2 linked regions of the Danio rerio genome follow. The protein of the gene in region 1 interacts with the protein of each later gene in a pairwise test. Links are inferred from orthologs where the notes say so. Each region holds a gene or a part of one and is shown in the gene's direction. Other genes may lie near its edges. The genes, in order: ptpn3 and lmo1.

Region 1 (3,931 bases):
CTTGACTTACTTTGACCCCTTAGCTGAATACCACAGCCTATTGTTGCTGATTATCCCCATGTTTTTATCAATCTTAAATCATCTTAAGCTGGTTTCTTAAAATAATTTCTTGAACACAACACTATATAGTATTCACTATACTCAAATTGCTTAAATAATCACCAGATCTAGAACATCTTTGCTGTAATGGTAGATTCACATCATAAATTTGAAGCTGTGAATTTACCACAAACATGTCTCAATTTTGAGTTGCGGCTGGAAAGGCATCCACTGGCAAACAAAGAGTAACTGACATTTCGTTTCGCTGTGATGACCTGTTATTAAGAAGGAAATAAGAAAAGGAGTGAGTGCATGACTGAGTGTAAACAAAGGCAACCCAGCAAGGCACTGATAAAGTAGTTAGTATGATTACTAAAACACAAGCTAGTGGTCAGTTATGCTGAATATTTAAAAAATTGGCTAACCCACAAAATGATTACATTTGATGTTTTAAGGCAAGTTAAAAGAAGTTCCGAAACAGATTTTAATTCTTATGTTTTGTCTTAAGAGCATAGATGTCACATTTATAAGGAATATGCCATATTCTAATGTTTTTACGAAAGAAAAATAAGAATATGGTGGTTAAGGATTTATTTTATTATCATTGTTAATGGTCGCATTTTGGTCTCTTACTCTGATCAGATAGTATTGATAGTAAGTGTTAAAAACTAAGACTAAGCTGGGAAACCAGAATGAAAACCAGAAGAATTTTAGAGCAAGCTCTACACCCAGGTGTGCTTACTGACTCAAAGAGGCAGCGCCCTAAACCGGCGGGGACGCGCACCTGAAATTGCGCGAGCTCGTGAAATTCCTGAGAGTTCTGGCTTAACATGAATCACGCCTTGAAATCAGGCTAGGTCTGACAATCACATTCACATCATGAAATCTGTAAAATGTGTGTTGCAACCACCCCAGCAGTGGGAAGGGGAGCATAAAAACAAAACTATTGCTACATGATCACAATAGATCCTGCACTCGTGGTCAGCGCAGTGACGCCGTTATTGCCCTCCCGAAGGAACCAAGAGAGAGAAAAATAACATATTCCGGAAGTTTACCGACACCTGCGACCATGATCGCCTTAACATGGAAACTTTTCTCTCATCTCGGGGATTGTAAGAACTTCTAACACTGCAGAAATATTGGGAACAGCTCGAGCAGGTAACTTTCTGACGCTTTTCTGATGTATGAATGTCCCTGCATGAACTCCAACTTTGTGGGCTAAAGAAGAACATTGTCAAACGACGTATATTTGGCTTTAAGAACAACAAATCGGTTCACTCCTAGACTGTTTATGGGAAATATCGCGATAAAGCTCCTGGATTTGTTTCTTTCCATGCGAAATATGATCTCGAAATATGTTGAGGTCATAAACGCTGGAGCAGAAGAACTGTCCTGTCGTTCACCCCGCTCGGTTTGGTGACACTTCGGTTCAGATTTGTGACAGAGCCCGAACCTAAAGCCTGAGCAGACCAGCGTGAACTTGAGTCAGAAATGCAAGACGTCACACCCAGAAAAGCCCTCATACAGAAACTTTAAACTGTTTTCTCCTGTTAAACCGTCCTGTGTTACTTTTTTGTTTCAAACTCATAATATTACAGTAGTTTGAGTCAAAGGCTCTTTGTTTTTTAGGATGGTTCAAGTAATTACATGTCCTAAGCCGTAAATATCGCGTCGCTTAAAAGTGAAGTCGAGCGTGTAAAGTAGTGCTTTTGCAACCGAGCTGCTGGTAAATATTAACCTCCAGTGTAAACGTCAGAGCTGCTCTAACCGTGAGCGAAAGTAAAACACCCACTTCAGACTGCAACTATGCGTTTTATATGGTCAAAAAGGGAAACATTGTATACAAAGACAGATCAGTGAGACTTCTGCATTTGCAAACAGTCACAGAGAGCGTCCACAAACTGGATCTGTGAGGTTAAGTCTGAAAGAACAAGAGGTATTTAATGTAGCTTAATCTGAAGTAACTACAGGCTGTTAAAAATCTTATGTCAAATAACTTAGTGTGTCCATATGATGGATTTCTGTCTCAAATTCTGATTTATGTCATGTGTCTTTTGTCTCTCCCAAATTATAAAGTATTGTCACATCACCAGTTCACGTTCATGTTTACTTGTCTAATGTCAAATTTGCACTTTAAAGGTGGCACAGAAGTGTATCTGAGGTGGCATTTACACAGTGTTTGCAGAGATAGATCACCCAAAAGTGAAAATTCTGTTATTTACTCATCCTCATGCTTGTTCAAAACCTGTTCGACTTCTTCTGTTAAACAGAAAAGAAGATATTTTGAAGAAAGCTGAAAAAATGTAACTATTGACATCTATTTGTTTTTACTACTTTTTACAGCTCTTCAGCTTTTTTTCCAGCATATCTTTGTGTTTAACAACATAAAGTAACTAACAAAGCTTTATAACCAATTGAGGGTCACCAAGTAATCAGTAATATTTAGTTTTTGGGTGAACTACCCCATAAGAAGGTGTCATAAATGCATGTACACCAAAATTACAACTGTACACTATACAATACACACTAGGGATGAGGTAGCGCAATTTAATTAGAGCAGATATCATTTAGTCTGTCTCTAGTATATGAGGCATTATGTATTTTTTTAATTATCACAGTGCAGCCTTATAATTGGCAATAGTGCAAACATTTGACACACTTGTCCTATATTATTATTACTGTACATATTTACAAAAACTGTAGACTATATCTTAGACAGAAAACAGTTTTTGTGTGAAAAACTTGATTTATGCATATTTATTTAAAAAATGACACTACAAAACAGTGACAGCACAGACTAATGTGCGGACACAGAATTCATTTAGACACATAAAAATACTTTGCATTCTATAACTTACAGTATATTTGTTCATAGTGCAGTGACCTCTTACATGTCAAAAGATCAAGTGAATTTATTTCTCAGTTCATCACACTTTTAACGGAATTATTAATGCAGTTTAGGTCTAACCAGGAGTGCACGAGCAGCAAGTGTAGGGTATAGGTATAAGTTATAATAACAAATATTAAAAACTATGGGTAATATTTACAGATGGATGTACTGTACTATAAACATTATATACAGGTTGTATTAGCTACGATATAATGTTCATAGTACATCCATTCCCGAATATACAAGTATTATTGAAATTATTAAAGACTATACTATAACTACAGTGTATCACTTTAATCAAGTTTCTTCGTATAATACAGCTTATGCAGAAGCCACTCACAGCCAACATGACATAATGTAATAGTGTGTCTAAACTCCGCCTTCTCAAAAGGTCATCAATGCCTGCTTTTACATCACTGCCTGTCTAGGCTCTACCCACTGATTCGAGTATAGATAGCTGCCAGCTGCTAGCTTTCTCAGCTCTCACATGGTAGCCCACTGAAGCCAAGCAGGGCTGCACCTGGTCAAACAGCAAAGCACAAACAAAATGGCATCCCTTTTGGTGCTTGAATTCACTTACTAGTTTCATTCACTACTTCAAGTGAACTATATTAGTGGACTAATGTAGGATATAGTGAATGATGGTACGAGGGGCAATACAGTATTGGTTGCTGCTGGAAGAGGTGTTATAGAGGTCAGCTGGGGGTGCTTACCCTGTAGTCTGTAGGGATCCTAATGCCCCAGTATAGTAACACTATACTGTAAAGCCGGGTTTATACTTCTGCGTCGAGTGATCGGCATGACCCACAGCACATGCCTTGTGCGTTGACATGCATTTATACTTCTGCATGCTGTTTGTGTTGCTCTGCAATAACAGTTCCGAAATCCTAGCTGGCAGTGAGGTTTTTATGTTCCTCTCTGTTGAGTTTCTTCGCTGGTCTTTTGTTTTTCTGAACGAATCTTAATGAACAAGTGGGTCAAACTCTCTCATTTTGAGGCGGG
Region 2 (3,931 bases), on another chromosome or scaffold:
AATATCAAGATTTTTTTTTTATTTTTTTATTTTTTGTAAGTAGTGTTCTAACAGCATGTGGCTTCTCTTATTATTTGTTATTGTTTCTCCATTTAACTGTCAGGGGGCCTTGTGCAGTCCAGCATTCAACTACAATGGGCCACGCTTTCCTTGTTCCCTCAGTTTGTTGTGATTGGATTAATTGGGTGTCATTCACTTCACAAGAGGTCAGCAGACATACATTTGTGGTCAAAAGTCATCCATCTATCACACTGCTGAAATGAAAAGTCAGACATGTCAAGCAAGAGAAGAAGAGAGCAAAGGCTCCAACAATGGATTTTAGGGGCAGGGCAATATCCCAATCTGCTAAGGTTACTACAGTCTATAGTTCAAATTAAACTACAAATGAATGTCTAGGGGCATGGCAGATTTGCACCCTAATGTCTTATGAGCAGATATGAATTACAGTTTCATAATTTATGTCTATTCATCACCTGCTTCGAGGAGTTCCAGATCTCAGAGACATGAAACAAGGCACATTTTCATCTCTACCTTGACAGTGATGTACAATAAAAGCAAATGAAAAACTAGTATGCCAGATCACTTATGGACAAACAGAGCACTTGTAACCTCTGCATCTCTGCTAATGGTTAATCTGGGGTGGATCTCTGCCTTGATTGGATAAGAGTCTCCGCAGGGCAGGTGAAAGCCCATCAATTGCCCACCATGAAACAGCAATACTTGTATCAGCAAAGTAACAGCTAACAATTATATTACCAGAGCCAAACGTGCTCTCCTATCTCACCACTAATCAAAACACAGCCCATCTGTTGTGTTGTGGCTCTCAAAATGACTGTTTATCTGAATATGGAAAGTGAGTCGTCTAGCCTATCATACATATCTAGGAGTATTATTATAATGACAAGAGCGAAGAACGAGAAGAAATTAGATCATGAGAACTGCTTAAAACGCTTTTTAAAAGCTCAAACCCTCTTTTCTCTATTTATAACACACATCACAATCACACAAGAACACACGTACACACACACATCCCCTGTGAGCACTTCACAAAAACACTCACACACACTCTGTTAGACACACACACACTTTCCCTTAGCTGTGCTTTTGTGTTTTGTCAGAATTAATGAGAAAAGTTCCCTTGCCCTAGGGGTAATTAGTGTCCTTGGAGTTAAATAAGCTAATACTTAGACACCTCTGGCACAAGCAATTATGTTTGTGTATTGAATAATTGATTCAAAGAGGGGGGAAGGGCTGCTAATCAGATCTGAGCATAATGAATTGATTTAATTAACAGGGGAATCCGTGGCTCTCTGGGAAGCGCGCGCATTTATTCAGTAGCAGGAGCGCGCGGAGCGCATAAATTGGGTGAGAGAGGCAGCGTGAGCATGCTGTTAGGAGTTGTCAGCCTCAGAATTGGATTTCTTGAATATAGTTACAGTTTCGGAGCAAATGAGAACTGGGAGGAACACGTTTCTACTCCGAGAATAGCTTCTTCGCGGCAGCTCAATTTAAACGGGAGTTTAAATTAGATTTGAGTTAGTGCAGTCGTTTCATTTTCGAATGGAATGCACCGTGGCGTCTCACTTTAGTTTTAGACATCGTTAATTGCAAGCGTGGATATTATACTGACGCGCTGCGCACGCGAACGCGACTAGGGGGACATCGCTGCATGTAATCTCCGAAATACATTAAACAATAGAATAACCGACGCATATGCTTCTCTACATGGCATTCTGTCTCTGAACAGCGGAAAACCAACACAGACGAGCCTGTATAGTTAAAGCTTGTGGCAGCAACGCGGACGATTATTATTTTGTTGTTGCAAAGCAATTTCTTCTCAGAGACGCGAGCGGCGCGCGCAGAAGTGTGCTGGAGCCGAGAGCGGATCGCCTGGAGCCGGACTCCTCGCTCCTCAGGACGATGGTGTTAGACAAGGAAGAGGGTAAGTGCACGGATGATTGTTAGTGCATTCATTTGCTCCGCATGACTATGAAGAACGCGGGACAGTAAGGAAACGCAGCATTTAGCGTCCATTTTCCCTCTGAACGGCACTTTCATGCTCCAGTTCGTTTGTCATATCAAACGGACACGTACGTTCGCCAGGTTTACATGAGGGAGAGAGCGCGAACGCGACTCTGAAACACTTTGAGTCGGGAGAGACATGCCGAATACGGTGTACTTCTCTCACTGTCCATTTGTATATGAATATTGATAATCTGTTAGAAAGACGTAGCGTCCGCATTCACCGCAGTGTTAGTTAGAGCTCGTGCAAATCTGTGAAGTTACGGAGATGTTTTATCAACAGCGGGTGTCTTCGCTCACAGGTGAGAGCATTTGAACCTTAACCTTTACTGAAAGATGTAAACGACAACATTTATACATCACCAATTGGATAGCAGTGTATTGCGTTTGTAAACATGTCAGCGTTTTATAGCCATATGAGCAATGCACTTCTCTGTATTTACGCTGCTGGCTGGTTCCTATGGAAACCGTTTATAAACTTTTCTTTTGGAGGTTGTGGTGCTGACAAGTTTGTGGTGAAGCTGAATCCCGTTTTTTTTTTTTTTTTGTATTCTAATACGTTTTTAAACTGTGTTGAAATGGGAAATAATCCCTTTAAAGCGTCTTTGACCTAAAATGCCTTTCTTGTCATGTTTCTGGGAATACTGTCATCACACACACCTTTAGTTTTAGCCAGGGGCCCTTTCCCCCCCAAACTAACGGCTTGCATTTCAGACCCATATTTATGTTTGAAAATGGATATTTCATATCTCTTTGAGCCAACCATCCTTTCACTAACCCATCTAAAAACCAATAAAGAGATTGCCGTAGAAACATAAATTGGTCTGTCTCGCTCAATCCATGTTGCGCTAATGTACCCAGATTAACTCAACTGTAAATTGTCTCCTTTGGATGTCTGTCTTGCTAAAAGTTCCCCATATGATTCATGATTCAGATTGCTTTTAACAGCTATTGGCTAAGCAATATGGTAAATGTACAAGGTGATGCAAATGGCATTAGTAGGAGAGGATGCACAGGAGCATGTAATGCAGTCAATACTACATTAACTACTGATGCCCAATTACAGAAGCAGGGAGAGTGGCTTTTAGGAGCATTAGGACTTACAGAAAAGCTTAGATCACCTGCTGCTCATTGCCTAAAAGCTTCACCCTTTGCGTGCTGGTGCCGACCAACTGCGCTGGCATTTTGGCAGGGATGGGGAAGCAGCTTGGATCTGCTTTCTCTCTCTCTCTTTCTCTCTCCCTCTCTCTCATACACGCATATACCAACACAGATGCACACACACTTTTAACTAACACAGGAACTGAACAGATAAGTCTGATCCTAATATAAGGCTGTGCTCTAAATATATCAGAGGTACAGTATTCTCAGTTCAGTACATCTTGTACTATATTAAAAGTGAGGGAGGAATTCAATGAATTGTGAAACCCTTGTGAAAGAATAACCATAAGCACGACTTTCATGTTGTCTGTGAACATGAACAGGTCCTCAGTACGTATTAACTTACACTGTGATTCTGCAGATTTAATACAAAAAATAAGTCATAATGTTGTATTTATAATGATTTTGTAAACTACAGAAGATATGTATGTGTTTGGTTTTCAATAACTGAACTTTTAAAGGCTGTCAATGCGAGTCTTTGAAATAACTGCATCCTGCAACAGAAGACTTATCTAGTTACCTTTTCCTCAACATCCTCCAAAAAGTGTGATACGAAGCAGTTTTGCTTTAGTTTTCCATCCACAAATTCACCCTAAGCTGTTGGGAGGCTCTATTAGGAAGTCTTAAAATATGTACAGTTTCCTATGTGAAATATGAGGTCATTCAAATCGCTGTATACTATGTAATGATGTACTAAGCACAGGAGATTGAAAGTAGAGCGATGCGGGGCTTGTGCACACTCTCGCTA

What was found.
Region 2: the proteins of ptpn3 (region 1) and lmo1 interact in binary tests that used the Homo sapiens proteins (3 or more experiments, as listed by UniProt). The two-hybrid records come from large-scale screens. The link is inferred for Danio rerio from reciprocal best matches to the Homo sapiens genes PTPN3 and LMO1.

What each region holds. Positions count from the first base shown.
Region 1 is NC_133191.1:29,669,202-29,673,132, forward strand, and holds the start of ptpn3 (tyrosine-protein phosphatase non-receptor type 3), read left to right. Parts: upstream 1-1,098; 5' UTR 1,099-1,197; intron 1,198-3,931.
Region 2 is NC_133182.1:28,180,165-28,184,095, reverse strand, and holds the start of lmo1 (rhombotin-1), read left to right. Parts: upstream 1-1,354; 5' UTR 1,355-1,920; coding exon 1,921-1,942; exon of another isoform or gene 1,943-2,290; coding exon of another isoform or gene 2,291-2,324; intron 2,325-3,931. UniProt on the Homo sapiens protein: May be involved in gene regulation within neural lineage cells potentially by direct DNA binding or by binding to other transcription factors.